Linked DNA regions of Lonchura striata. The protein of the gene in region 4 interacts with the protein of the main gene of each other region in a biochemical or structural test. Links are inferred from orthologs where the notes say so. Each region holds a gene or a part of one and is shown on either strand. Other genes may lie near its edges. The genes, in order: NDFIP2, SGK1, UBE2E3 and NEDD4L.

Region 1 (7,925 bases), on a different chromosome or scaffold from region 4:
AAGAGAACAACTTCAATCTGGCACACACTCGTGTCTATTCCTGTGATTCTCCTGCTTTAAACTGACTTCTCTCACATACATGGGCCTCTCCAAAAAGGTGTGACTTTGTAGGTCCTTTTTTTCTCATCGTTAGACCCTCCTCTGTCACTGGTGTGAAACACCAGCAGTTTTTACACTCATTCTTCATTCTCAATGTGTCACATTATATGGAAATACATTTTTTAAGAAGAATCTATTCTGAGAGACAAGCACACACTGCTTCAGCCTTTATTTATGGACTCTGTACCATTTTCTCTAGACTAATAGCTTACTGCATAGAACTGGCTAAGCAATCATCTTGCAGAGGCAGCTCATTATGCTTTTTCTTTCCCCTTGCAAATCCATTGAGCTGTACTGAAGAAGCTGTACTGCTGCCAGTGTGAGCATTGTCTCCCTGAAGTTGTCTGAGGCCTTCTTAAAAGATGGTGTTCCTTCACTTCTGTGGTGTCCTGCTTTAACTGTGCTTGTAGTCAGCAAAGGTAATTAATACAGGCTCTAAGGGAGACAAGAGAGGTAGGGATCTAACCATGCTACCGGCTTAGACAAAGTACAGATGTGCAATGCCCAGCTGTGAGGAGTTTGTCAGAATATATCTGAGCTACTTCAGAACTGTCTCTGTGACTAGCAGGAAATAGCTCCAGCAGTAAAGAGATCCATGCAGGCTGCAAAATCTGTCCTAGACCAAGGCAAATATTTGAGCTATTTCCCAGCCTGACCTCTGTGTTGCAGTAATGACTTCTAAACCTGGTTCAGACACATCTGCATGATATCTAGACATATCCAAAGGCTAGGTTTACAGGACTGTACAAATGTATATACACACTGAACACAGATGATGACAATGCAATTGAAAATCTACTTTGGGCCACAAAATCTTAAAAAATCTTAAAAGTAGCCCATTGTTACTGCTAATGATGGCTTTGGCATTGCCTATGTTGCCTAAAAAAAAAGAAGAAAAAACGAAGAAAAACAAGCCAAAGTCCTGCTGTTTCTTTCTAAGAAATTCAGTCCCAGTGGTTTGTTTAAGCTAACTTCCTGCTTAAAGTAGCTATCTAAGCCCATAGAGAGATCACAAATTTGTGCAGGAATATAGAATTAAAACCAAATAGCTTATAAAAGGAGTTTGAAAATACAGAGGAAAATAAATACAATCAATAAATTCACAGACCACAGGACTGGTCCATGAGTAAATTAAGTACATAAATTTAATTAGATTTACATTTGGGAACAAAGTATTTATTTCTCACTGACATGACCTGTATTAGAGATTTAAAACCACATGCTAAAGGTGTAAAACAGAGTTTAAAAAAGTTTACTTTGTTTTCCAGGTTTTGGATAGGTATGTAGGCTTTTATTTTTAATTTTTTAAATTGTTTGTATGGTACAGTAAGTAAAATACTATAGTAACTGCTATATTTACTTAAAATAATACAAAATTATATACTATAAATGTAATATAAATATTTTTATTTTAACCAATATAAGTATTTGGTTTATATGTCTTTATTAAGATAAAATTAACATACTTTTGAAATCTACCTACTCTGTAAGTTCCACAAGAAACCTTAAAAATTTGAATAGGTTTATACAGGTGAAGAAATGTAAAGATAAATACTGTGCTTTCTTATTTGGTGGCCAGTGGTTGAATAATGAATGAAAACCAGATTAAAATAGCTAACAGTCCTTGCCTTTGTGCAATTAAGTTCAGACTTGTCAGAATTCAGATGCCATCTTTCAAGACAACTTTTCACAGAACTGGGCTTGCAAAAGCAAAAGCTTGTTACCAAGCAGAATCTTTTCTTGGCTCATTTTCATGGTGGAACAAAGTTTAAACTGTTGTAAGCTTGCTGACTAACAGCAATTAGATTTCTTTTTTCCTAAAAAAAAAAAAAAAAAAAAAAAAAAAAAAAAAAAAGTCTGAAGCAATACTTCCTTTTAAATGTAAATTTGAAACTATTTTGATTACATGCTATTTAGAGTACTATTTCTGTTTCTTTAAATACAATTCTTTGACAGAAAACAAATATTCTTAAGGATACAAAATATAGTCCTAACCCAATACTGTTATTGCAGGCCTATTAAGGTTTAAGAAGGTCAAAATAAAAAAGTAAATCTTAAGACTAGTATTCAAGGGTTTTAGTCTACAGGACAGTCCACATGATTTTTCATCTAAGTAATAAAATCCTAGCACTTCTGAGAGACACATTTCCTGGATTCAGTATATATTCTGCACAAGAGATCACAGAAGAAATATGGGCTTATGGGAGAGAGTCCAGCAAAGAGCCACCAGGGTGATGAAGGGACTGGAGCATCTTTCCTGTGAAGCAAGTCTTTGAGACCTGGAGCCCTTCAGCCTGGAGCAGAAATGCCTCAGAGGGGACCCCATCAATGCATATAAATACCTGAAGGGAAGTGCTTAGCAGATGGAGCCAGGCTCTCCTCAGCAGTGCTCTGTAACAAAACCAGGACAATGGGCCCACACAGAAACACTGGAGGCTCCCTGTGAACTTCAGGATTTTTTTTTTTTTTTTTTTTTTTTTACTGTGAGAGTGACTAAGCACTGACTTAAGTTGCCCCATGGACTTGTGGAGACTCCATTCTCAGTGATATTCAAAACACCCCCGGTCCTGGGCAGCCTGCTCCAGGTATTCCTGCTTGAGCAGATAGCCTCCAGAGGTCCCTTCCAACCTCTACCATTCTGTGGTTCTGTGATTTTAAGGAACCTTAGTGCTTGCTAATTGCTTTGCATTATAGATTAATATTATGCCATGGTCAAAACCTCTGGAATCCGACAGTTAAATTAAAATATACAGATAACACTATTTTGAAAATACACAGATCTGAAAGAAATGCATGCTTTTTTTATATTTTGATGTTCTAGAAAGAATAAGAATCAAAAGAAGGCATATTTAAAGCCTAAATGAGTCACATGACCTGTTTTGTTATAAGTCCAATAACTACACTTATATTCTTGAAGTAAAAAAAAGTTTAGTCTCTGTATATAAGCTAGACCATCCATCCAAAATTTGTCCCTACATATGAAACTCCCTCTCCACACACAAGTGTATTAACTCTATTGAATCTGCTCCTGCCTCCACTGACTCATTTCCCAAGCACTATGGAATATTTGCCAATTTTCCTATTAAATACTCTTTGGTCCTTGCCTATTGTCCTTTCTTCCCTTCATGTCTTCTAAAAGACATGAATTGCATGAGTTCAAAACTGAAGGTTACATCTTAATAAATGCTTACTCAATTGTATTCCGACATTTGCAGTGTCAAATTCCATTTGGCAGCTTTTAACTAGTTGGGGTTTCTAGGACAGTGCATCGCAGAGCTGAGACACAACACTTAAAAAGCCATGGAGATCAGATGACAACTTCCTGAGCTGAGATGTCACATGCAACGCTTCAGAAAAAGTTTACTTTGGAGAAAATTGTTGCTAACGATACAGAAAATGTTAAACTGATTACAAAATTGGTTCAATTTCTATGTTTCGTGAGATCTGGAAATATAATTAAGAGGTTTTGGTAATGGAAACACACTGCAACACTCTGTACAAACTTTCTTAAAATCAAGATGATCTTTACTAATAACTGTTCCTTTAAGAACAGAATAATTAAACATTTATTATGTATAATGAAGAAAAAGGAGAAAAATCCTGTTAGGAAGATAATATTATTCAATTTCTAACCTATAGAAACTCATCCATTTCTAACCAGCTTTGTTTCCTAACTGCTGGTGCTTTTGATGTGCAACACAGTTGTGCAAGAAACAAAACAAATGCAACAAACAGAAAAGGCCTGAACTTTCCAAACATATTTTTCTTTTCATTTGGATAGCTTTAGTAACTGCTGCATTAGCCAGGTATGGGCTGCAAGCACGGTTGCAGGCACACACACAACGTCTCACGCTTCCACCTCCTCCTCCCCTATAATCCTGCCTATCTTCACTCCCACCCCCAGCTAGGAGCACAACTCCAATAATGGAGCTCGCTCCGCTCCTCTGCCCTGCCACGCTCCCGTACTGGCTCTTCCCCCCGCTCCCGCAGGTCCTCACCCAGCTCGCCAGGGATGACTGCCCGCACAAAAACACTCACCCTGCTGCTCAGGTCAGCAAGCAGCTACGCAAAGGTGATGACCTGAGCTGCAGGATAAAGTTCTGCGTGCCGGCCATTAGCGATAGCGGCTAGCCGGTTTTGTGAGAGCATTTGCCTTGCAGATCAGCTATAGAGCAGCACACGCTGACACTCCTCCCCACTGCAGCCAAGAGATGGATCTACGGCTATGTGAAGTTGTTGCGTGCCACAGCTACATCTGGCAGTTTGGGAACCTACAAATGAGTCAGCTTCATCCCATAGACTTTTATGGGTGCAGGCGTTTTTGACTGATTTTACTCCAGGAAGTCATAAGCATCTGAATATTTAGTTTTAGGAAGAGAGAAGAAGAAAATCACATTTCCTTGCCACAGAACGGTGTTCTGCCTTCACAGGAACAGTAAACAAACGGACTCAGGATTCTTAATAACTTTACGTAGATGCCTATTCAAAATCGCTCTCCGGGTCCGCAGTATGTCTTCTGTGCTATATTGTACTTCTTGCCCCGAGGTGATCAATAGCGATAAATACCCAGGCAAGGCCTGGGCTTGGGCCATAACAGCCTTAGAGAACGCTGCTGCCGAGCGAACAGCGGGGAATGTCGGAGAAGCCCGGCTCTGGGCAACCGCGGCAGGAGCTCCCCGGGCCGAGCGCGGCCGCGGGCGGGGCGGGGCCCGGGCGGGGCGGGGCCCGGGCGGAGCGAGCGCGGCCGCGGGCGGGGCGGGGCCCGGGCGCTCCGCCGCCGCGGGGGCGGGCGGGGGGCGGCCGCGGCGGGGCGGGGCGGGGCGGGGCCGGGCGGCGGCGGCGCCGGGCGAGCGGGCGGGGGAAGAAAGGAAGGAAGAAGGGAAGGACGGAGCGGGCGACGCGGCGCCGGGTCGGAGGAGCTGCGGCCGCGCCCGTGCGTGTCGGCGGGTGGCCAGGATGGATCACCACCAGCCCGTCAGCCGCTACCAAGTGGTGAGCGCCGCGTCCCCGGCGAGGCCCCGCTCGCCTGCCCCCGCCCCTGGGGCCGGCGCGGCGGGCACGGTGCGACCGGGGCGCCCTTCCCTCCCCCCGCTTCTCGGCTCCGACGCGCGGGGGTCTGGCAGGGACCAGGACCGGCACCGGGCCCGTCCCACGGAGGGGCTCTGACAGCCGGGCCTTGCCGCGGAGGGGGCGCTGCCCGGCCTGCTCGGGAGCCGCCTTCGCCCGCCTCCTCTCCCGCGGCCCGGGCTCGGCGGGCTTTCCCGGGCGCTCCCCCTGCCGGAGCGGGTGCGGCTCCCGGGAGAGCGGGGCCGCCGGCGGAGGAAGGGGCAGGGGTCCTTGTCTCTGCTAGGTGCGTGCTGCGAGCCAACCTCTGCATCCTTGTGGTTTCTGAAAGCCCGGAGCTGTCTGGCACAGGGACAGAGTGCAAGGCCTGTGTGAAGATTAGAGCGAGGGAGGGAAGTGTGAAATGCAGGGAGGAAACTGACCTTCAGTGTGTGTGTCTGTGTGTATGCACATGCAGGAACAGGCTATTCTCAGGAACGGTCCGCAGCTTTGTGAGTCACTGAGACCAATTTTTCTTTTGTTCCCGAACCTTACCACGGAAGTAATAATTTGGAAATCGAAGGTTTTCATTCTGCCCGAATTGATTGTGCTGTTTGTTTCTCGCAGTTTAATGTCAATTACATAAGTCTTGCAGTCATTACCTTAAGGTCAGTTTTACTCAAAATATGTAAGCTTTCATCATTACTGGATGTAAAAATTACTTAGGTGCAGTCAGTCTCCTCAAAAGTTTAAATTTTTTCCTTAAACCCGTTGTACTTTATAGCCTTGCTCTGAATGTAAAGATAAGGAAGTCTGAAATCTTATTACTCTCTATGATTCAAATTTCTACTGTAATCTTCTAGCTAAATCCTGAATTATTTATCTTAATATTTGTGTTTTACAGCTTGAGCAGTGAAAAGAATGTCCACAGAAGTAATCACACATCTGTGCATATATAAATAGTACTATTTATATTCAGATTGTTCCTAGGTTATGATTTAAGAAAAATAACAGGAAACAATTTTATTATATTTGGAATATTTATTTTGATAATCTTACAGCACTGTAAATTTCTGTATAGTTTTGGGCACTTAGATACAGGGATTGTCATAGAGGTGACAATCCTGTGACACACCCTGTGATGTATTCCTTTAGGTTGGTAGATGGTCACCAGCTGCTTTTTTTGTGGCACCATGCTTCCATAACTTGAACTCAGTAGAAGTCCTGAAGTCATTCCTTCTTCTCTGCAACAGAGAAGAAAAATGCTGGCAGAGCATTTTCTTGAGAGCCTACAAACACTATCTTCCTCAAGGCCTGAGGTAACTTGGGCATGTTTTAAAAGGCTTTGAAAGCATATGTTATTAGAGGTCAGACAGGTAGAAGGGAAACTTTAATTTAGTTACTCAAAGGAGTAAAAAAAACCACATGAAGAAATAATTTGTCTCTGTAATATTTTTATCCTATGTTTATTAGGAACTTCCAGTGATGGTGCTGATGCCCAGCTTTGAGTAAGCACTATTTGGTGTGGCCTTCCAAAAGGGCTTAGCTTAATGTTTGTCTGTATGAGTTGGCCTCCTCAGTTTGCTGTGTACATTAAATTGTGTAGTCATTTGTTATAAATCAGTCTGCTGTGCTCCAGAGTTTAAAATACAGCCTTACTGATTACTGCCCCATGGGAAGGAGCATATTGTTTTAGTTTTTTGTTATATCTGACTGCTGAAGACTGAGATTTTTGTCATGTTGTTTACTTACTGTTTTGGGTCAGAGAAAGGAAGGAACAAGGCAATTGCAGATATACTTAATTAGCAGCTGATTATTCAAGCATGTGATCTTAAGTGTTGTGATGTATTTGCTTACATAATGGCTGTGATAGGTACTGAGCAGTAGATTACCACAGATTTTATGGTTTTGTCCTAGTTTTTAAAGACAAAATGTAGGGGGAAAAAATGACTTAATATGGTTAATACCATATTTTATTACTGTTTTATGAATTTAGTTTTATGAAATCTGGCCAGTTCTGTTGTGTTTGATGTATTTTTTTTTGTTTTGTTTTCTTTTTTTTTCTCCCATGTTTAATAATACTTTTTGGCCCAGCTTGTACCCATTCTGCCTCTACTTCTAGCTAATCTCTTTGACTCCATTCAGGGCAAACTCTCTTCTAAATAGAGAGATTTTTATGTGTATATTATTATCAAAAGAATTACTGACTTGTGTTTCCTGGCAGTAGAACTTCAGTGAAGTTGAAGGAGCTATCTTTCTCTTTTTATTTGTGCTGTCTTCAAGTAAGTTAAATTAAAAGACTTTAGTTGGGCAGGCAATTTAGTTTTGAGTTTTAGCACAAAAAGCCAGTTCTATGACTTCTTATGAAACAGAAAATGTCTCATCATAAAGCTAGCCCTCTGCTTTACTTATTTTTATCTCTGTTGGAAATAGCTCTAAAGCTTCATTCTGTATCTTGTTCTTTGTGTGTCTACATTTTATTTACAAAGCAGTTTAAAAGTGTACAAATCGGGCAGCTGTTAGAAGCTGGTACTTGGAATTGCAGCAAAGTAAGTTGTGCGCAAAGAGCAGGCAGTACGTCAGCATTACGTAACTCTCTGCCGCGGGCATGTGTGATTTGTATTGCTTTCTGGCCCTCCTGTTTTGTCTCTCTTCGTAGGGCAAAAAGACAAATAATTGATGGATAAGAATTTGTCATGCTTCCCTGCAGGAGTATGACATTAGAAGTAAAGTAGCCAACCTTTGTTGTCTTGCTTTACTTCCTTTTTTCTTTTCCTTAGTCA
Region 2 (7,956 bases), on a different chromosome or scaffold from region 4:
GATTGTTTTGTGGCCTATAGGATGTAGATTGATGTTTTCTTCCTGTGGAATAGGCTTTATATCCCCATCTCTCTGTAGGCTAAAAATGGGAACTACATATAGCTGGACAGAAGGGGATTTCAGCTCCCCTATGAAATATGGAACAATTGCTTCCAGGCCTGGAAGGATTTCAGACCATCAGATATTGTGTATGAATAGAAAGTGTTGTAAGCCATTTTTAAGAAGTTTGAAATGCTGGGGAGGAGTTAGATTTCCTTTTCTATTCAACCAGCACAAGCTGTGAAAGACTGGCATAATCAACTGGGTCAGGTGAAGGAAGGACTGGAGTGCTCTGGCAGGGCCCAACTCAGGACCTCTGGCTGTGCCATATTTCTGGACAGGACTGTACAGAAGGATCTTCATCCTTCGTTTCTCCCAGCTGAGGAAACACCCCCACCCATTTTCTTCAGTCTTCCTTGAATACCATGAGTGTTATCTTACTGCAGAAAAGTACCATGACTTCCCTAGGATCCTAACCTTAGTTTTTCCCTAAAAAAAACTAGTACTAATTTTGAGCAATCTTCCAAAGTGCTTAAATGCTTTTCTTTCTTCCCAACAATTTTATTGATGTTAGTCTTTTATTGCTAGGCATTGTATCTCCAGCTTTAACTTCTGGTGTGTGAATGTGGAGGCTCTTTGTTGGGGTTGTTGCCATGTCACTCAGTGCCCCATTCCTCACAGTGACTGGGAGAGCATATGGAGCAAGCACAGAGGAAGAATGGTGGGAAAATTTGCCTGACAAGCTGCACCATGCACTCCATGAGGTCTTGAGCTGCATATGATCAGGGGCAGGGATGTCAAATACAAGTAGAAACTGGGGAACAAGTGATGCTTGTGAGCAATACAAGATGAAGAACACGTGAGAGCTGGCCTAAGAGCAGTGTCCACACAACAAGACCAAAGCTAGAGGAGCAACCACAGAAGTGTCAAGAGCTGCTCTAAGGCAGAGCTGAGATGAAAGCCATATGGACATTCAACTAGACATTTCTGGACATAGAAGATGTTCAAACACCCATTCTGCTCTCTTCAGTTGTTGTTCTTACTTTCTGAGCTGGTCCTGGTGTACTCTGATAAACGAGCTGTGCCTTTCTTTATCATTGCATACCAGAGTAAAATATCAGTCATGGGTGCTGGAAACTATCCACCTTTCCCTGCCCACAAAGGAAGTGAAGGAAGCAGCACTCACAGACTGAGCAGCTGTGTAAGAACCCATAACATTCTAGAGATGATTTGCCACATGTGGTTTTGGCCCCTGCCAGAGATGTAAGCAACTTTGAAAGCACAGCAAAGGGAACTGCAAAAAAAGGGCTGTGATACTAAAAACTGTGACTTCATACTGAGCATTCTTCTCAGTCAGTGGGAGAAAAAGATTTAGTCTGTTAAGGTCGTAGCTAATTAAACTTGTCAATGTAATCTACTTGTTCTATGATAAACCCTGGATTGATTTACCACCTGTTATCTGTGACATTGCACTTGTAAGCATTTAAAAGCAAGGCAAATTATTGGTATCTGTGTTCATAAGAGGCACAACAAGAGAATGAGAATTCTGGCCCAGGCTTAGTGCCCCTTGCATACTACGTCAGTCAAAAGTTATGTTATTTCTTCAAGAAGATCTTCAAGAAAAACACCTTCATGCTCTCCCTGCAGGGCTGTCTCACAGGAATTCAAATGCTACCATGTGTTTTGCAGCTCTCTGAAATTCTGTAGCTATGATACATGTGTATTTCTCTCCTGACTGCCCTAATGAAAAACTTATTTTATCATTGCGGAGTATATGACAATTTAATGGGAACCGCTAAAGGGTGTTAAAGCATGCAGTACCTGTAGGACTTGTTTAAAGTGTTTGGTATATCTGGCAGTCCACCAGGCTGATGAAAGCCCTTGATGTTTTGTGACAATCACAATAAAGCACAGCTGAGTGTGTTGTCCTGGCTGAAATTCTTATTTTCCTACTCAATTTTTATGCCTTTTTACTGAAGTTAAATGCAGTGAACATGGATTTTTATGCTCATTTAAGGTTTAATTATGAAGCCATGCTTTTGGCATCATAAAAAAAAGTGAAACATTTTTTCTAGTAAAAATATCTCTGGCTTTAAATATTTGGCTTCTGGTGTAAAAACAAATATGTGGTGTTCCCTTTTTCCTCCTATTTTATATTTTTGATCTCCAATGCTAGATATAAGCTCTGCAGGCACTGAGTTGCACTCTGATTGATACTGTATTAAAAAAAAAAAAAAAATGTTTGGAAATAAACTCCTTGGAGGCCACAGAGTCAATGAGATTCCAGCTGAGAAGAATTCCAGTCAAAATATAGATATCCTGAGGAGGCCAAGGAGAGCTCTGTGTGATTCAGGGATAGTGTCCTAGGCCATTCCCCTTGCAGCAATGCACCTGCATCAAAAAATAACTCCTACAGTACTTTAAAACTATCACTATCAGGCTACTTAAAAAGCAGCTGGAGTTTTTTCTCTCTAATGGAAATTAACTTAAGGGCATAGTTTGTTCAGCTGAAAAGAGGCAAGCACCCAAACAAAGTAAACAGCCAAAAAGGTCTGGGGCCAAGGCCCTTGCACCAGGACTCATGAGATATCTTCGCAGCAGCAGTCTCCACCCCCAGCAGCCTACAGGGTGCTGGGTTTAGGAGGCTTGAAGGAGAATGGTGTTTCAATCAGCAGGCTGGAAATCTTATGGAGAAGGTAGAGACAACACAAATGCTTTTGTGAAAGAGAAGGCAGTGCCTGCAGGAGAAATATCTGAGGCTGAGAGACAGATCAAAGCTGTGGCTGAATAGATCAAAGATCTCAAAAATAAATGTACGTGCATAGCAAGCTGCCTGGTTTGCCCGAGAGAAAGTCATTCTTTTGACAATCATTTTCTTGCATTTCAGACTAGCCAACGAAGCATGTGGTGCTCAGAATAGTGAGAGACACCACCAGTAGAAATTGGGCACTCGCCATTGTCTACAGCTCTATCTGTAAGCAGCAGAATATAGCTCTGACAGCTCTAAAGCACAGCAAAAGATTATGAGAGATCAATAAGACTGAGGGATTGGCTGCAAGGTGGAGGAGGGTGGTGCTCACTTCAGGGAAGACTTGCTGATGCATATTGAGAATTCCGTATTTTCTAAAAACCTCCCCAATGTCCCTCTAGCTGGGCACTCTGAATTTCTGATCAGTTTTTAAGGGCCGGGCTGAATTGCTCCTTGGCAAAATCCATTAGCCCCAGACAGAGCAGCAGAGTGGAAAATTCCCTCTGTCCTTGCTTCAGTGACAATTAGTTATATAAAGTGAAACAATTCTGATGAGATATTGGCTTTTAATCTCCTTGCTTCAGACAGTCCTGTAAGAACATCCAAAATCAAGATTATGTCTTTTGTGCTGCTTGGACATTGAACTGTAGCTTCCCAATGAGTGTTCTCATTTGTGACCTGGGATCAGGCTGTACCTTCCCCTCATAATTTTGACCAGAATTTTTAACCTGAGCTCAAGAAATATTTCTCAGAGTATTATCGTGACTACTGAAATTAAATACAAAGAGGAAAGACAGGAAAAGGATGGGAAAGGATGGGAAAAGAAAAGGGAAAAAATGGCGAAATAGGTATGAGGAAAAGAGGTTTTGAATGAATGTTGTGGTACTACATCCTTAAGAAATTTGAAGTCTAGGATGAGTGCAGCCAAATTGTTTATAAACAGTGATGGAGAGCTAAAGGTACAAAGTTGGGAAATACATGTTGTTGACTTGTAAAAAAGGTCATAGCCTACAATCTGCTCAGCCTGGAGTCTCCAGTGAGTTGCGCAGGTCCAAAGACCTGTGGGATTCTCTATGTTCATAGTTTTACCTCTCTACATGCAATAAGGGGAACCTTGCACTTGAATAGGATATACAGCTCTTATTATCAAAGGATCTTCAAAAGAGGGGATAAAAGGGGCAAAGAAGAGTGACACAATATCTTCAAAGACTACTTAAAATTACTTCCACTGAAAAATGTGAAATGCTCAGTTTATTTACCTAAACATAGAGATGATTTAAATTAGACAAGTATCCTCATATCCTCATATATATATATATATAAAATACTTTATATTACAGGGCTGACCAATCTTGGAAGTTTTGGCTCGAGCGAGAAGCCAGATCAGTATTAGAAATTAGAAATTAGGTCCTTTCTTGAAACTGAGGTTTATTAACCTGGAACATAGGCTGATAGGAGGTCATGAAAACCCTATTTTATTTTCCAAACCTTTCTGGAAAATGTAACTTAATTAAGGTAGACTTTACAGTTCAGTTAAACACATATTATTGGATTCACTGGACTTGGTGACATTTAACTCAATTGAATTTAATAAAAAGGAAGTTTAAAAAGGTGCCTTTTCAAGATTCTTTCAGTCCTATTTCTAATGAAAAACCCTTTGGGTTTCAAAGATATATATCTATGTTTCTATGGAAATATCTGGACAAATGTGTCTGTGTCTGCTTGGGTCACATTTATCTGCACCACATATAAGAAATGTACTTTATAGGAACTGTGGGTTTCCTTTAAACTCATTGAACTATCTACAGCATGTCCTGTCACATAACCCAGTATGACATTGATCATTGGATGGGCTTTTTTCCAAAGTAACACTGTTTAAATCAGAACATAAGAAAAACATTTTTTTTAATTGACCTGTGTTTCTTTTCTTCTTACTCAAAGACTGTTCACCTATAAAATGACAGCTACCTCTGTCACTATCCCAGGGGAAAGATATTGCCTTTCAGCACTTCTTTCCCTGAGCCTTCCTACTACCCTTTGTATGGTTGTGTTTGGCTGCTCTGCCTGTGCATCTCTCCCTCGCTCTCTCTCTCCTTCCCCCCCCCCTTCCCTTCCCTTCCCTTCCCTCCCTCCCTCCCTCCCTGTCTCCCTCCCTCTCTCTCTCTCTGCTATTACTGAACTGCAGCTCCCACTGAAATTTGCACAATCAAAACCAGCTCTCATCTCAAACAGCAGTGAATTGCACCACCTGAAGAAGGAAAATAGCAAATTAAGCACGGTATCCTCTATGCTTATACAGCATGTGGTACCAGTAAATCTCACAGGATGGATGGACCCGGGTTTATGTGAGACCCACTTAGCCTGAGGTCTGCTGCCTCTGATCTGAGAGCTGTCACAGGATTTTACAGGAGGATATGTATTTAGGGGATGGTTTTAAGAAGCTAATAGAGAGCTGCATGTGAGAGCTGCTGCTGCCACTGTGCTGCTGCTGCAGTAGCTGGTGCAGCAGGATGAATGTGTAAAGGACAGCTGCCTGAGCCATGCCGGTGAGTCTCCTGCCCTGCTCTGTCTTCATTAGCTGAAAGAATACAGAGGAAAACAGATGCACTAACAAGTGCCACACTGGCACACTGGATCTATCACTGTGTACCCTTCACTGTGGAAAATGGTCAACAAAGACATGAATGGATTTCCAGTCAAGAAGTGCTCAGCCTTTCAGTTTTTTAAAAAGAGGGTAAGATTTTCCAGATTTTCCTTTAATTCTTTTTTTCTTTTTTCTTTTCTTTTATTATTGCTGTGTTTCTTACTCAGCCAGAGTAGAGAGAAAGTCATTGAAGAATGAAAGTGCTTTATGTTGGTCTTCTACTTTATGGAGCCCATGGCATGGGCAGTTCTACTGAACACCAAGGGTAATAGCAGTGTAGGTGAAGAGGAGCAGGGCAGGGGGACAAGGCTGGGGGCTCCAAAGGCATTACATCAGCACTCTTTGCTGTGGAATGTGTATCTCTGTCACGGCTGACCCCAGGGCTTGACGCAATACAGGCAGCTATTCTGGCTGGGATAATGCACTCCAAAGCAGAGTGCAGGGATGTTGCAGCTTGCCTCTGACTCGCTGCTCCACATCCACCTAGGGTTATGACTCCCTCCACACCTTCCATTTACTTTCCTGAAGTGTAGCATTACCCTCATCCATTCATCATCTCACAAAGTAGGGGGAAAAAGAGAACAAAGAAGCATTTGTAAGCTCAGGAAAATACTTCACAGTTTCTAATTTGACTGTAATCATAATTCATGCAGGAGAAAAGAGTAAGACTGAGCTACACCTGGATTTGATTTTCTTTTATATTCTTTAACATAGATACATCAGGATTCAGAAAATATTTGCTATGCATTTTATTCTGTTTTTCTCCAAGAAATGCAGGTGTAACTCTATCTCGTCGCTTTAGCTAAGTCCTTTCTGTTTCTTTGACTCTTTTCTAGTGACAATACTGCACACTCTTTATTTACTTGAGAAGCAGTCATTTCCATGTGGCATCAGGACAGGTATTCTGAATAAATCTGGGTAGACCCAGACAGCAGAAGCAAAGCATCAGAAAGAGATTGTTAGCAGGGACTACACTGTGGAAAGGATTTCCTGAGTGATTAAAACGACAACCCTCTCTTTAAACAGACTGGAGTAGGAGCAGATAAGCTGCTCCATTCACTCATTAGTTCATTCATTCATTCATCCTCATTCATTCACTCTCCCTCCATTATGCCAAGAATATGGTCAGTTCTTTTAACCCTTCAGGCAAAAATAATGAAGCCTACACCAGTAACTAATTTGTAAGCTGGGGTCAAACCCTTTCAGGCACCAAGATGCCACATTTAAGGGCAGATATAGAAAATACTAGCTGGGTCACTCAGAGGAAAAAAATGCAGTGTTAGCCAACAATTGTTGTTTCCAAGGCAGTTTGTAGAAGCCTCAGACTGATAACTCAAACAGCACATAAATTCAGCCCCTAAAAATGGTTGTCATCCCAACATGCTTCTCATTTAAGTACATTACTATTGGCACATGTTTACCTGATACTCAGCTTACCAGCAAGGTTATCTGTTGTTTTTTTTTTAACTGCTTGAAGATTTTAATATAATTGTATTATTAAAGAGGAAAGTAACTGTCTTGCAATTCCTGTATAAGGTTCCTGTATTGTCAACTGTCTTCTATCTTTTTAGAGTCACTGAGAAGTTATCACTGGAAACCTCTACCTAATTTTGTTCTATAAGAAGGGAAAATTGTGATTTCTGGGTTTTTTCAGACCTACACTGGTAATCCATGAATTTACAGTTGAAAGAGATTGTTAATTGTAGTCATAATTGAGGAAACTGTCATACTGATACAGTCCTGGACAGTGGAACAGGACAAATAGCTGCCTTTGGTTTCTGAATGTTTTCATTTTAACAGATGCTGCCTTTTTGCTATTGTGATGAAGATAGATGAAATCAGTAAAACCAATTTAGAGACACAAAGAAGGGAATTCTCTCCCTATACTTTTCTGTTAATAGATATATGTGTTCATTGATGTTTCTCTTACCCCTCTTACCTTCCTTGCAGAAAATCCCCATTGTCCAATGCCAGTGTTTGAAACACACACAAACAAAAATAGCTATATGCTCATAATGTGTTGCTGGCTCCCAGAAATATATCTTGCATTTGCTGGACTGGTGATGTGTCACATGTTAACTACTGTGAGAACAAGGAGAGATGGTTCAAGAGTTTATTTGGTCTCCTGCCAGTGATCTGGACACTCTGGCTGAACCACCAGAATCCTGGTGTATAGAAGCACATTTGTGAGCTTTCTTGGTCTGAGTGTAGTGTGTGGTAGAGCTGTTTGACAGTTTGCATCCCCACAGCACCAGTGCACCATAACCAGCAACCCAGGGGATGCATCCTCCATCCAGAGTGGGAGGCAGGAATTGCACTGCAGAGCCTGGCACTCCTGGCTGCTCGGTGAGGTTACTGCTATCCCTCTTTACTGAAAGATGCCTGACACACAGAGAAGGTCATTTGTTATCTGGGTACTGAGCAGGCTTGTCCAGATCACCAGCAGGGTCTATGATGAAACAAGGGCTGGGGCTTCAATCTCTCCAGTTTGAAATCACTGCGTCTATCTCCTCAAAAGCACATA
Region 3 (7,233 bases), on a different chromosome or scaffold from region 4:
GCTTTCCAAGTAAAATGAAAACTACAGCAATTAAATGCTGGTAAATTCAAGCTGCTTTCAACAAAAAGTAAAGGATGGATTTTTTTAAAGCACTGATATTCATTTGACATGCACTGCACTGAATTCATATGAATGACTACAGGAACTACAAAGGGGCCACTGTGTTTCTAACTTGCATCAATAATCCACATACAAGGAAAGAATTTACAAAACAGAACACAAGAACTCCATGGGAACACCCTAATACAAACATATCCACGTTACTCTGTGCTCTGAAACCATGCATTTATCTGTTATGTTTTTAAGTACCTAATGCTAGTCTGCCCATTAAAAACCAGTAGCCAACTGACCATTTAGCCTTCCAGTGTGTAATATACAACTGTCAAATACAGCATATGCTGAACAGTAGGACTTATGGTTTACTTCTTAGGATTATGATGAAGATTAATTAATATATGTGGTGCTTTAGTGCATGCTAAGTATTTTTCTATGGATTTAGATACATTCTATGGATTTAGCAGTATTCAATGTAATAAAAAAATCCCAGCTAAACAGCTAACTCCTGTGTTAAAAGAAGTTGGCAAAATTCTCTTCCTGATTTATTCAATCATGCAAGGATTCAGAGAAGGAAAGATATCCTGAAAAGTCCTGTAAGAATCCCAACTTCCAGGCCTCATGACAGGCTGCATTAGAGCAGTCTCAGGATTATTGCTGAGCTACAGCAGCCTCCAGAAAGTCATCCTTCAAACAAGAACAATTGAAGCACAGCAGTGTTCTGGCTCTTGCCTTCATCTCTTCCGCCCAGCCCTCTTCCAATCCTTCCTCCACCATATTCCCATGCCAAACTTTGTATGGTGGCAACACAAAACTAACAGATGGGCTGAATACCAGCTGACAAAGGGACCAGGATGTGGCTTTCTAATGGCTGGTTCCTGTCCACTGCCACATTGACTTTATTTCTCAAAAACTTACCTCCACTGTTTTTGTAAATTCTTGAGAACACAAATGAAGTAGGGACGTTGTTCTTTAGGGGCTTATTTTTCCTTCATAAACCCCAAAGAATCCACAGCATCACAATGTAAGAATAATCAGAGTTATGGTGAAGGCACAACAGGATGAGCTGCAGCTACTGCAGGCTTCCTGTACTCCTTTCTGTAAGTCACTACATGCCTTCTTGGCCCAAGATTTTTGCATTGTCTGCTTTCCTAGAACTCTCTGTTAAAACTGTCAATTGTCTTGGGACAAGACACACTGAATATTTGAAAAAGAGCTACCTTACAAAGAGCACTAGTTTCTACTGTGACATTACCTACAAACAAAAACACAATCTAAATCTTACCCCATCCACTTAAAAAAAAAATAAATTGTTCATTTCCTGGTTCTCCAGCCTGTCCACATCTATCTGTAGCACTGCAGTAGGGTGCTGTAGTAGGGGTCCAGCAGGGGCTTTAACACAACCTGGAATGGGAATACACTTAGGACAGAGAGATGCATTTCTAGATGATGAATTTACTGTCAGGAAACTATGACTTTTTAATAAAAAAGATGAAGTACACAACTGTAAACTGTTGAACTGAGTTGAACTGCTCTTAATCATGAAAAATGTATGCTGGCTTTATTTTACCACCTGTACGCCCTTAAAATTATTTGGGTCAGGAGATCCAAATGCTTTTCACCTAGTTTTGGTCCCATTGTTTGCTATCTAAGAACTTCATGTCAGATGGAGGAGACCCAGCTGTGAACTCCTAAATCTAGAAAAATATATTCAGAAGTCTGTGCAGTCCAAGGCAACTGTTCAACCTCTGTGTGCTAACAGAAACTTCATATCTGTGCTCTGACAGAACAGGGAGGAAGACAGACCCAAAAAGATACTGGGCTTTTGAAAAAACCAGCTACCAATCTACCACCTTTGCAAACAGGGCTTCTAAAAAAATAACCCAAAGAAAACAAAAGTAACAAAACACAAACAAGAAAGGCAACTGGGAAAAAAATGTAGGCCTCAGCCTGAGTGCCCAGGAGTTCCTTGGGAAGGCTCTGCAATGCCAGCTGCACTTCCACAATTTGAGCACACAATAAACTGACAGAGAAAACACATTCATGACTCTGTACATCAGTTAAAATTACACTGAAGGCAAATTATGAGGGATATGAAAAATCACAGAGGTGTAGATTTGTAACAATAACTACTAAAATTGGCATTTTTCCCTCTCCTTCAAACTGCACCTTTCAGTGCAGTCCTCTTTATGTGGATGATAACACAGAAAGAAAACATTTTCTTTCTGTGAATAACAAATGAGCCCAAGGAAAATACAACCTCATAAGAACAAAGTGTCATCCTTTGACACCTGACGTCAAATTAATGAATATTCAATCAAATAAATATCTGTTATGTCCACACATTGCTGTAGTAAATTCATTTTAAAATAGTAAAAAATGCTGGGAAAAAAAATAAAATCTAGAATAATTTTTCTATTAGTCTCCATTAAACGGGCTTTCTTAATTTTCACTTTGTATCCTGAAAGCCACAAAAGCCACACATGTAGCTGATGTGGTGTGCAACTCTTGGCCAATCTACTTACTTTCATTCTGTAGATGTACACTTTTCTACTACTTTTTTTTGGGATGACTGCAAATTTTCACCTGAAATAATTTTAAAGACTTAATCCTGACTTTCAAAGTTCCAGCAAGCTTCATCTTGAGCATCATCAACAGAATGGGAAGAGGGGAGGGGCAAAGGCTCTCAGTGCTGACTGATAGATTTTTGATACTGCCTTGCTTTCCTTTTACTAATTATGCCCAGATTGCTCATCATGCCAGATACTGTTTATGCTAGGAATTTTATACAGCATACCTCAGGGGCAAATTGCCTGTAGTGGTGAGCTGGGAATTCTCTATAGCCTACTTTAAGAAACAAACCTCCAGTATTCCCCTACATCGTATTATTCAACTTTCCTGCCAAATCTTCAGCATGAGCTAACTTCAGCTAACGCCAGTGAAGGGTACTCCTTGACGCACCAATTCTTCATTCCCTCTAGAGCATGGTACATGCTCTTTGAGCCCTTGATCTTGCACAAGCTAAGAAAACACAGCAGTTTTAAGTCATTAGGCTGTTGATGATGAAAGCTATCTAGGCAAAAGCCCTTGTGCTGGACAGCAACTGTTAGCCTTGAGATTTCATGTACATTTCACAAATATTTATAGTAATTGTTAATTTCTTCTCTGCAGAAGCCAGTAATCCACCAGCTCAACCTCATCTACTTTTCCCAGATAGATAAGATCTTTCTAAAGAAACTGGAATTTAACGCCAGCGTGATCAGGCTCTAAAACTGGAGTATTTACATTCCCTAAATTGGTGGATTGCTATGGACAGATAGTGTGAGAAGCTGTTCAGCGCACACCGGCACCGTGCATTTGGGACGGGCCAGAAAATAAGCTGCATCTCCGTACCATAGCACCTTTCTGTGACACCACAATTGTTGTCAATTATCCCCTTTCCTCTTTAAAACATTTGTGATTTGGCGCGCTGGTTGCTCGCAGAGCAGCCCTGGTTGTGATGGTGAATACTTCTATTCAGAGTGGGGAGGCTGCAGGGTGGCCGGTGTTTTTCCAGCTCCAAGAGCCGAAGGCAGGCGTTGGGGGTGTTGGGGTCGAGGGTCCCATTCCCGCGTGTCCCTGGCCTGACGCGGGGCGCGCGGCACGAGCCGAGGCGTGCGAGGTGCGAGGCCGAGGGCCGTGGACACCGCACGACCCCCGGGCATCGCCGTTCTGCCGGGCACCGGCCCGGCGAGTCCCGCGGCGGGCCGGAGGCTGGAGCCCCCGGGACCGGGTCAGCTGAGGGCTGCGGGAGGCGCCCGGCCGGGCGGAGCGGCCATCGAGGGGCGATCCCCCCCCCGCTCCCGGGCCGCCGCTTTGTCCTTGCCCGGCCCGGAGCACGCGCGCCCCCGGCCGCGGCGGGAGCGCGCCTGCGCGCACCCCGGCGGCCGGCAGACGGGAGCGAGCGCCCCCTCTCCCCTCCCCCGCTCGCCGGGAGCTCCGCCGGCGGCCGCGGGCGGGCGGGGGAGCCCGGGCGGGGCGGGGAGAGCCCGGGGGGCGGCCGGGCCCCCTCCCCGCCTCCGCTCCGCCGCGCGCGCCCGCCGCCCCCCGCCCCGGCCTCCCGGCCCGCCGCGGGAGCCCGCGCCGCAGAGCGGGGCCCGCCAGCGCCACCCGCCGGCCGCGGGGCCGCACCGCGCCTCCCCCCGTCCCCCCCTGCTCCGGCTCTCAATGTTCCACACTGCCCGGCCACAGAGCCGCCGCCGCCGCCGTAGAGCCCCCCGGCCGCCTCCGTCCCCTCCTCGGGCGCCGCGGGCCCGGCCCGGCCCCCCGCCATCCCGCCCCTCCGACCCAGCATCGGGACAGGACGCCGGCGAAGGTAAGGGAGCGGCGGGCGAGGCGGCCGCCGCGGCGGCTGGGCGAGCGCGGTGGGGGGAGGCGGGGAGGAGGCGGGGGGGCTGGTAGAGGAGCTTTGTTCTTGTTTTCGGCGCTCGCTGCCTGGCGGCGGCCGGGGACGCGGGGCCGGCCCGAGTTCACGCCTCACTTGGTGCACACGCACGGTGCGGAGCGGGGCCGGGCGAGCCGCCGCCGCCCGCCGAGCCGAGGCGAGCCGAGGCGGGCTGGCGCTCCCCACAAAGCGCGGCCGGGCGGCCGCCCGGATCCAGCCCTGCCGCAGCTCCCGCCGCTCCTCCTCGGGCCCCCCCGGCCGCCGGGGCAGCCCCCTCCTTCTCCCCCCCGCCCCCCCGCCTTCCCGATCGGCGGAAAAATGTCGGTCTGCCTGGCGGAGCTGCGGGGAGAGCCGTGCAGAAGGTGCAGTTTGAATTATGCTTCTTCCCCCTCCGGCAGCTCTGTGGTGGCCAAATGCAGTTCTCGCTGCTGGCCATGTAAATAACCGGGGCTGCTGCTACCCCAGTGGCTTTAAATGCGTCGCGGGGCTTTTCCCCTTACCAAAAAAAGCCCTACCACCGATAAAAAACCAGACCTCGTTCCCCCGCGTGCCAGCCCTTTAAATGCTCAGAGCAAGTGTACATTTCCATCTGAAATCAACCCAAGTGTAACTGGCAGTGTATTTTCTCGGAGAGAGGGGAAGAGTGGGGGATCTGGACCCAATAAAATGCTCTGTCCCAGTGTAAATATTTACGGGTTATTAGTGACTTTTTAAAAAACATTTTCAGTGAGGTCTGTTATTTACAGTGTGTCATAAGTTATTAATGCTCATTGCCTAAGTACTCTGCTAAATCTGTCTCATGCCTTAAACAAAGTCGACAATTGGCATATTGTTTAAAGTATGAAAAAAAATGTGAGTGGGTTTAAAAATTGGAAATATCTGTATTTTCAGAAGTGTAAATATTGCTTTGTAGCTGTCAAACTCCAGCCCTTGTGTATGAGACAAAGAAGTATATTTTGATTAATTTCTCACTGAAACTGACTTGTCACCTATTCAAAGTTTTCTGGGACTTGGGGAATACCAAGAGAGAGTCCTGCCTGTTGTATGAACTCTGCCTCTTTTCTTCCCAAAAAAAGTTCTGCATGATGTCCAATGGTAGGCAGAGGTCAGCGGAACTTGGGGAATGACAAGAGAGAGTCCTTCCTTGTGTATTAATTCTGTCTCTTTTCTTTCCCCAAAAAGTTCCCCACGATGTCCAGTGATAGGCAGAGGTCAGACGATGAAAGTCCAAGTACCAGCAGTGGTAGTTCAGATGCCGATCAGAGGGATCCGCCTGCACCTGAACCTGAAGAGCAAGAAGAACGAAAGCCCTCTGCCACTCAGCAGAAGAAGAACACCAAACTATCCAGCAAAACTACTGCTAAACTATCTACTAGTGCAAAAAGGTAAAGGAGGGCGTGAAACGTCCTGCAGTATTTTTGCACATAGTTGGAGTCACAGTACTTGCACTGCGCTTGTCAGGGCAGAGGCATTCTTCTTGTAAAGCTGTGTGGAAGGGAATGTACTATCAGCTTTGGTAGTTGACAGGAGCCTGCTAAGCAGTGTTTTAATTAATCTAAGTCTTGTTGGGGTAGCAGTTAAACAGAATAGTGCTATGTCTTTTGAAGAGTTGGTGCAGAACTTGGTGACTTACAGGGTGACTGGGAGGGGGGCACCTAGGTACATTTTGTATTTTCAAAAATGTGTGAGAGATCTTTGGTGCTTTTTTCTGAGTTAGGTTTCCATGCCTGATTGGTATAGGGTGGAGTCCTCCTGGAATATTTTATTATGGTTGGTAGACTGATGACAGGCAATGCTGTCTAATTAAAGAAGTCATAAAACCCCAGTGGCTTCTCTGGGCCTTATGAGAGCTTTTCATGATGATGCACAGGAGAGCCTTACACACCTTGAAGGAATGGGTTCATTCTGCCATTCTCCTGGGAGAAACTTAGGTGAGTTTTCTCCCTTAGGAGCTGTGGATTTAAACCTGTGACATTCTACAGGTAGCCTCTGCCTTTAAATATAAGAATCTTCAGAAACCTCGTTTAGTTATATTGGTTGCACTTTCATTTGCATATAAGTTTATTGGCAGCTGGGCTCTCAGGAATTACTCTGGTAATTTTCTCAAAGATCAGCTGTGTGAAATACTCAAACTTTAAATTCTTTAATTCCGGCTGTCTTTGGAGATGAAACATAACTTTCCAGTCCTTTCCTTGGAGTTGCTTTTCTTTGAAAACATTTACAAGTATCCAGTAGCAAGAAAAGTTGAAAAATAGCTGTAGTTAGCTTCAAATTTTGCTTATTCAGCGTAACTATTGTAGTTCTGACTTTTATGAGCACTTTAGTAATTTTGTATTGGACTTAAACTTAGTAAATTCTTTTTGAAATATGTTAAAATTGTTGCAGAGAATGGCTGCATGCCTTTGATGACTTTTGAGCTTGTTAAAGAAACCCTTTGAAATAGGACTGGCTAAAGAGAAAAAAGTTTTGCAACTACTGTGCAGCACTTGTAATTTGTTGTTACTTGTCTTTTATTTGACAAGCCTAAGATACAGGGTTTTGACATTGAATTTTCCCATATTGTCTTTATTTCATTTAATTGTTGCAAGTGTAATTCCATGCATCTCACATAATTCAGTAGGCTTACTGAACTTATTTAATGTTAATGCAAGTGATGTTAATGCAAGGACATCCAGAGCAGTTTCTGTTAGCTCACCTTTTAAGGCCTGCTATTTGCATGAAATTCACAGTATTGCTCTTATGAGAAGTCTTAATTT
Region 4 (7,884 bases):
CAGTGCCATGTGGGCTGGGCACCTCTGTGCCTGCCATGCTGCACAGCTGCCTCAATCCATTCAACACGGTAACTCAAACCAAGAGCACAGAGGAACAGATTTCCTCGTTCTCCTCTGGGACTACTGAAGCAAGTCTTTGGGGTGGGAATTGTTACTACAGGGGGGATGAAAACAGGGACTTTGAGAGGAGATCCTTTAGGAAAATGAGAACTGTTGCACAGACCCAGGGCACATCTCTGCAAACCTCTGCTGCCTCTGTGCTAGGTCTGACACCCCACAGCTACTTAGGGAACTGGCTGCAGTGGGTCTCCATGAACAACAGATCTTGGAATGGAGCAAGGGATAACAAAGAGGAAAGGGAAAATAAGACATACTTTTTTTCTGCTCCTTTACATGTCCTGGAACCAAACCTGTACCAGGGAGGGATTTCTTTCTATTTCACGCTTTCAAGAGCTCCAAAGAAGGTTGGAAAAACACCGAGTCCATAAGCTTTTCCATGGGAAAGCTGCAGAGTCACTCCTGGCCTTGCTGCAGGGAGCAGCTGTCCCTGTGCTGCATTTCAGAGCCTGGGAGCACAGGAGCCATGGAGCCTGAAATCTCCTCAGCAACCGTGCCACAGCTGGAGCCAGAGCTCGCAATGCTAAATAGAGCATCCCTGAGCTGGGAACTTGAGTGGGCCGTGTTGGATTGCACAGCAAAGCAATTTAAGCAAATGACTAATCTAAACCCTTCAGTTTGCTCCTACTTTAGGCTTTGGAAAAGCGGCTGAAAAACATCAGCCATCAATCCTCGCCTGCTGTAACAAAGCAAACCCAGAAGATTAATTTTGCCATCCTAACACCAAATCAAGGCAAATCCAAACAGACTGTTTACTGAGTTGTGTCAAACCACTTGCACTTGGACTTGGATCAGGACTTGCAGCATACAAAAGGCATGACATGTTTTTCACTTCCAGAAGGAAGAAAGAAAAATTACTCTAAGATTAGTATAAGAAATTACTAATAAATATTATTTTTCCCCAGACTTCTTGGTACCTTAACTAAGCCAGTACTTTGATTAAACTTACTCTAAGATTCCCACAGTCTTAGCAACTATTTCATTACAATACACATTTTAGAAGTGTGCAGAGGTCCACGTGTGTCCATTACACTTAGAAAGTGACAAAGTATTTGTTTTTAAAACCAGAGTGCACAAAGAGTTCTCTACGCAGCAAGGCCTCAGCCAACTAAACTAACAGAAACATTTAATTTGCTATTTGAATGCTCTGATTTTAAAAAATCTTTCCAGCTGACGTAACAGCTGGAATTAATGTGAATTAAGAAACACGTGACAGTAAGAGCTGAAAATATTACACTGGATGTAATCATAACGAAGAGCGAAGTTACATTAGATTAGAAATAAAGACAATTTGTGGCCTGCTCCAAAGAAACGCAGAACATTCCAGTGCTAACAATGGAAGTGCTGCAGTTGGCTCCAGTGTGGCAGCCTTTGTAAGGCAATCCGTGTTTTACCAGCACAGCACAGCACGCCCATCATACTTACTGCGGTGCCGGCTGCCGTAGGACCAGGGGTGCCACGACCCTCCTTACCAACAGCCTGACTTTGTTCTTCCGGCCCACGCGTGACAAGAATTCTGAAGTGCTGCTGCCTCATGTTTTGATCTGGTCTGATTTTAAACAAGCATCCCTGCCCTTGAGGCATCCGCTCTACTGAATCACTTCGAGGTATTCCTGCCCTGTTCCTGCTGTCTCCAGGCAGCTCCGAATTCAGCCCATCACCTGTGGGGCTAATTCCTTCTGCTGGTGGCTGGACAGGGTAGGAAGTACTCCTTTCCAGCCGTATCCGAGGGTACCTGACCAACCTGTCCCCTTTTGTTCCGGTAAAGCCAAAGTTACTGCCACCTTCTGCGCCCGTACTGCTTGTCTGTGGCTGCTGTAACTGGAGAACAAAGAACTTTTTCCCTGAATTTGCTGACAGATCTGGCACATGCTGCAAGGACCAGCGCCGGGGCTCAGAGGTGGGAGCGCTATTTGGAGCGTCAGGACCAAAGGGAAGTAGAGTAACTTGAGGAACCTCCGCACTTGAGGCGCGATGCTGAATCCTCACACCGCTTATGTTTACACCTGAAGCCGCTTCACTCGCTTCTTGTCGTTGGGCAGTCAGCAGAGCCTCCTCGCTCTGAGAATTAGTACTACAGAACATTCTACGGTTACAGCAAACAGTTCCATCTGTCTGCTGCCCCAACTCTTCCGTCAGCCCGGGTGAAGAACCTTCAGGAGTCACCTGCAGAGCGCTCGGAGAAGAGCGCTTTTCAACAGGGGATGCATACGGCTCCCTGAAGTCTGAGACTTTCCAGGGCAGCGTCTCCTCCGGAGGCTCCGGGGCCGCGCACTCGTCGGCGCAGCCGTCGGCAGCTTTGCGCTGGAGCGAGATCTGCATGGACGAGCTCCTGGTGGGGCGCGCGTCGATGCCGTTCAGCAGCTGCGGGATAAACATGGATGTGCTCCTTTTCAAGGAGCCCACTTCGTGCAAATCTCCGTCGCCGCCGTAATCCGGTCCATGCCGCGAGAACGCGTGAGGGCTGCTTCTTCTTGGCAAGGTGTGGAATGCCATGAAAAAGTCATCTTCTCTCTCCCGGGCAAGGTTCTCCGATTCGGGGGCTGTGTTGCTTCTCCCAGAGCCAAAATGAAACCGCAGCCGATGGGCCATGATTTTACAGAGAGGAGAAAAGGAGAGGGAGAACGGCAACAATTCAGGCACTGCCAGAAGTTAAAAACCAAAGACATAAACTCCAGGAAAAAGTGTCCCATCTGCCAATCGGTTAGCACTGCAGCCCTGGGAGCGACAGATAGCAGAAATAGCCCAAGTGGCAAGCAGCATTCCAGGCATGATTGGGCAGGAGCAGTCAGCGCTCCTACACACACGGTGACATAGGGTAGGATGGTGGGAGTCACGTGGCCTGGTTCCCCCTCTCCAATGTAAGTGTGTGAGGAGTTTGTTTTTTCCTTTTTTTTTTTTTTTTTTTTTTTAATGCCAGCAAGAGCCTGAAACAGCACCTTCCCAGCTGCTCCTTTTCCATCAGGGAGGAGCGGCCCCAGAGGGAGAGCTCTCGCAGCTGACTGAGGCAGCGAATACACTCGGCACTGCTATAAATCTAAACCACATCAGATTCACAGGGCACACTTGGGAGAAAGCACTTGCAGAAAACTCTAACTACAACAAAATGCTTCCATTTTGTGTTAAAAGCTTAAATCAACACCACATGCAAATGAGGAAAATTCTTTCAAGCACAACATTTTAGTGTGTTACAGCTCTGAGCTGTCATGGCAGAACAGGAATAAATACAACATGGTTACACTTAAAATTTTAACCGTGCTCATAACAAAATTAAGCAACAAACTTTTGACTTTAAAAAGCCCCAGCAGCAATATAACCTGCAGTTCCCTTTGAGCAACTACAAATTACCAACAAAGCAATCATACGTATGGCAAAGATCTCTCACACAGTAAAACCAGTAGAAATGTGCAGGACAGCAAGTCAGAAAGCTCCTTTTCCAGATCTGCCAGGCAGTACAGGTGAGGGAAAAGCAGAGCTGGGTGTTGCATGTCTGTTTGCACTGATTTGTCCCAGCCCCTGCACAGAACTGCCTGCTCCTGGCTGGCCTCCAGCGAGGGAGTCAGCAATGCCACCACGCGTGGCACTGCCAGCACAGAGTACAGTTACACTCCGAGAGCCAGAAGAGCTCAGGAGAAGGACAGGCAGACAGGATACACTAGAACGTGCACCAACCACCTTAAATCAGCTCTGCTACAACAAAGATACTCAGTGCCCTGAGGGCACTCGCACTTCTTAGCACATACCAGAAAAACTCTGGTTAACCAGAAGGCAGCTCCATCTCAGGGCCTGGACAGCTGCTCCCTGCGAGAACTAGAAAGCCTAAATCTTGTCAAAAGCTCTGAAAACCTGTATGTGGCGGGTCAGTCCTCTGCTGAGACATCTGAACTCTGCTTACAAGCAGCTTGCTTTCAAAAGCCACAAAACTACCAATCCCAAGAGCAACGGCAGCTCAAATTGATCAAACTGCCAGCAACCAGCACAATCCCACAATTTTTTATGTGGGTTATGAAACGCAACAAAAATGTGAACAGCTTCCACACAGCAATGGTCCTGGAGATTGCATCATAGAAGCACAGGTGTTGGTATTATTTTATCTTTTTTTTCAGCTAAAACATGTTACTCAATAACACGGTCTCTGCATCCAAAAGGAGGCTGCATCACATTTACTCTGTTGAGACTGGGGAAGAGAAAGGCAAAGACACCTGCTAAGACAGAGTGTGCTTTGGTAATTTGGGAACAAGAAGAAACAAAGTCCTTCCAACAAAAGCCATTTAAATATTGACAATAAGTATGTGAGAGTAAAGCCAAAAGTATCAGCTCAGCGTCTCCTCACTCTATAAACACAACCTGATAGAAACTTGCTATTCCAAACCCCCCGAAGCAGTCAGCTTGCCACAGACCTTCTGCAAGGAAAGCCATGCTTCCTAACCCCAGGTGCTGCTTTGGCCAGGAAGTTCCAAGGCCAAGGACAGACTGAGTTTGGAGGCAGAACAGAAGGAGAATACACACAAACTACTTCAACAATAAAAAGTGCTGAAACTGCCACAGTACGGCCGGTATTGCACACCCAAACTCGAAAATCCAAAGCAGTATGTCTGAAATAAGTATCCCAAACCTGTAATTTCCCAGCTGTCAATGCATAGAAGCTTTTTCTCTAACCCGACCTCCCTGTTCCTGTGGCACCTTCGCATTCCAATGGCGCATGGCAGTTTTAATAGTGCAAGTGGGCATTATAACCATTATATACAAAATAAATATGCTCCTGGTCAGCCACTGTAGAGGCACAGTGCCACCGGTTCACCAATTTACTTCCTCCTGAGAAAAGATCCAGTCATTCAGCTGCCAAGTCCTTTTTCTCCCCAGATTACAGCTTCTGTGGTTTCCTTTGCTCTTTATTTATGAGGAAGATAGAAGGAAAGAACCTATTTGTTGAAGACAGATGCTTTTACAGTCTTTTTTTATCTTCAGCAAGCAAACAAGTTTCTCCACCCCAGAAAATGTGAATTCCTGATCTCATGAACAGAGCTGGTGTTACAATGTTCAAAAGGCAAACCCCCAAGAGCCATCCACCAGTGTGCCACCGCACTGGCACGTTTAACCCCAGATGTACAGAGGGATACTGACACTTTTCCCACGGATAAAACTATTCCAGAAGCTAGCAGCAGTCAATGGTGAAAGCCTCCTCCTGAAAAGCTACTGCATCAGCCAAAGGCAGGGAAAGACGAAACCACTAACAACATGTGAGCGTTGTGAGGCAGAGATGAAACCCACCATTCTGCCATGACCTTAAACCTTCACGCATGCACTGTGCGCATAAGATGCAGCTCTGGTAACCACCTCCCCAGGCAAGATGCAGAAGCACTAAAGGACTGGAAAGGGACACTAAAATGATAAAGCAGTTCCTTTATCAGCAACTGAAAAGGTCAGGACTTTATTGGTTTGAAGTGGAGAGGCCTGAGAAGGCCAGAGTGAGGGTGAGGAGGACCATCTTGGTCCGACTCAGAAAGGCACTACTTTAGTGCCCTTTCAGTCCCAGACTCAAATGGTTTTTACACCTCTATTTGTGTTTCTTGGCACGCTCACTGAAACAACCGTCCGAAGACACCTTTGAGCTGTGTTGTATTTCTATCAGCTGGGGCACACGGAGCCTCGTGATTAGCAGAACATAACCAAGACAAGCACTCACCAGTCTGTTTTCATCAAACACCTCGAACAGCAGCCGATGGTTAGTTGGGTTTACCTGTGAGAAAATCCAAATGTCACTGCAAGTTCAGTAGCTGGACAATAACAACCTGGGTACTAGCTCAGGCAGCAATCAAGGCAAACAGGACAGGACTAACAGGTCTGATGTAAATCTTTACTTGAACTGGAGCACCAGAACCTTACTGCAACTGGGAAGAGCATGGCAGTTGACATGAAAGCTTTTACCTGCATTCCCATGGCAGAGGACCCTAGTCCCAGGCTGGACAGAATATCAAGGCTCCCTGACTGATTTATGAGGAGCAAGAATTTTGCTGCATTTCCTTCAGAATTTCACCTTCAGATATGTTTCTGACTGTCCACTGCTCATCATCTCTAGCCCATTTATTACTCACATCCTTGGAACAACCAGCAGAAATCTCCCCAACACCTGAACAGCAAATATACCTCCAGAAAATTATTTACTTAAACTGAAGCAGAAAGACTGCCAACATTTAAAAGGTCAAAATCAAACATAAAAAGAACTCTGTCAGAAAGACAAAACAGCTGCTATTAAGCAAGTTTTATAGCATTTGATCCAGTTGATATATTTTTTCAGAGAAGCTTTACAAGCTGGGTTACTACGACCAGCATATTGAATTAAGAAAATTTAGAAATAGTATACAACAATTCTGTGGGCTGGAGATGGACTTCCCAGTTTTGAGAAAATCAGAGAACTGTGACACACAAAATAGTGTCTAAATTACTTTACAGGTCCCGTTATTGCTGAGGACACTCAAGATGTTTTAACAGAGCATTTGTGAACTACACCAGAGGTTTTGCAGCAGGGTTGTGCACTCCCTTTTCCTAAGACTCTAGATCTCAGCTGCAAACCCCAGAAAAGCTGTTTGGTGCAGGTGTCCCAGTAAGCACTCCCCACGGCAGTGAGGCCTGTGCATGGAACATTCCACTGGTGGCACTGCTGTCCCAGAGCTCCCATCTGCCACACCAGCCCTCAGGCACTGCTCGAGGGTAATGTTTGAAACCCCTGCAATCCTACCTGACCCGCTTTTGTACAGCTACAGCTGCACTACAGGTCACAAGTCAACTATTCCTTGGAAGAACGTTGTATGCAACCGAGTAGCAAAGTGACTGCCCTTCACAATTATATAATTGCAGGTTGGGAAACAGTTTCTAAGGAACCTGCAAGCCAATTCCTGCTGAGCATTCCATCCCCTCAGAAACACAACAGCAAGTACATCAGGGCAAGCAGGTCTCTGGAGTAAACATACAAATAGAAAATAACATTAGCTGTACATGTTCTAATAATGACCACAAATAAAGAGAAACTTACTCTGAAGTAAAACTCTTCATTCCATTTAGGGTTCAGCGTCTGTAAAAAAGTAACTATATTTACATCTAATGTAAATGTTTTCTGGTGTGCAATTATAACAACATACATGCAAGTGACAGTTTTCTAGGGAAATAAAAGAGAAAGAAAAGCATGTAATAAAAGAAATTGAAAAATACATTGCCATCTAGAGATTCTCTATTGAGTAAACCAAATGTGAGAGGATATGTGAGTCAGATGACCCTAAAATAGACATTAAATATAAATAGAATTTGATGATTAAAAGACAAATCATTGAGAACCTATAGAAATAAAATCTGAAGAACATTTCATTCTCAAGATTCATTTAAACCCAGATGAGAAAAAAAGTATTTTTTAATCACAAAAGCAACTTTGGGGCTCCAAGAATATTCTCAGATTTATACTGTGAAATAAACAGAAAAATTAAAAAAAAAAATAAAACCAACCCAAAAAAAAACCAAAAGTAAAACCAAAAGAAAAGGTTATTCCTGGGAACAGGTAAGATACTCTTCCAATGTTCTCCCAGCCCAAGGATTTTAATTTTAACAACCTGACTAAAATGCACAGAATAAACGTCCATACATATTGCCAGCTGAAGTGAGCTCAAACATGACATAATTAATTGACACAAAAGAGATGAGAAGTACAAACAGTAATTTGGGCAATTCAAGCTTGAGTAAGTATAAAACAATTGGACAATACGCCCAATGATTTTG

Evidence for each region.
Region 1: of the proteins of NEDD4L (region 4) and NDFIP2, one has a biochemical effect on the other in vitro, tested with the Homo sapiens proteins (2 studies listed by BioGRID, with this or other methods). The link is inferred for Lonchura striata from reciprocal best matches to the Homo sapiens genes NEDD4L and NDFIP2.
Region 2: of the proteins of NEDD4L (region 4) and SGK1, one has a biochemical effect on the other in vitro, tested with the Homo sapiens proteins (5 studies listed by BioGRID). The link is inferred for Lonchura striata from reciprocal best matches to the Homo sapiens genes NEDD4L and SGK1.
Region 3: the proteins of NEDD4L (region 4) and UBE2E3 form a complex in vitro, tested with the Homo sapiens proteins (3 studies listed by BioGRID). The link is inferred for Lonchura striata from reciprocal best matches to the Homo sapiens genes NEDD4L and UBE2E3.

The regions. Positions count from the first base shown.
Region 1 is NC_134604.1:47,832,188-47,840,112, reverse strand, and holds the start of NDFIP2 (NEDD4 family-interacting protein 2), read left to right. Parts: upstream 1-4,923; 5' UTR 4,924-5,055; coding exon 5,056-5,091; intron 5,092-7,925. UniProt on the Homo sapiens protein: Activates HECT domain-containing E3 ubiquitin-protein ligases, including ITCH, NEDD4, NEDD4L, SMURF2, WWP1 and WWP2, and consequently modulates the stability of their targets. As a result, may control many cellular processes.
Region 2 is NC_134605.1:58,639,730-58,647,685, forward strand, and holds the start of SGK1 (serine/threonine-protein kinase Sgk1), read left to right. Parts: upstream 1-4,953; 5' UTR 4,954-5,453; coding exon 5,454-5,522; intron 5,523-7,956. UniProt on the Homo sapiens protein: Serine/threonine-protein kinase which is involved in the regulation of a wide variety of ion channels, membrane transporters, cellular enzymes, transcription factors, neuronal excitability, cell growth, proliferation, survival, migration and apoptosis.
Region 3 is NC_134610.1:23,812,955-23,820,187, forward strand, and holds the start of UBE2E3 (ubiquitin-conjugating enzyme E2 E3), read left to right. Parts: upstream 1-4,217; 5' UTR 4,218-4,408; intron 4,409-4,787; exon of another isoform or gene 4,788-4,839; intron 4,840-5,659; 5' UTR 5,660-5,668; coding exon 5,669-5,862; intron 5,863-7,233. UniProt on the Homo sapiens protein: Accepts ubiquitin from the E1 complex and catalyzes its covalent attachment to other proteins. In vitro catalyzes 'Lys-11'- and 'Lys-48'-, as well as 'Lys-63'-linked polyubiquitination.
Region 4 is NC_134642.1:459,424-467,307, forward strand, and holds the start of NEDD4L (E3 ubiquitin-protein ligase NEDD4-like), read right to left. Parts: upstream 3,009-7,884; 5' UTR 2,710-3,008; coding exon 1,543-2,709; intron 1-1,542. UniProt on the Homo sapiens protein: E3 ubiquitin-protein ligase that mediates the polyubiquitination of lysine and cysteine residues on target proteins and is thereby implicated in the regulation of various signaling pathways including autophagy, innate immunity or DNA repair.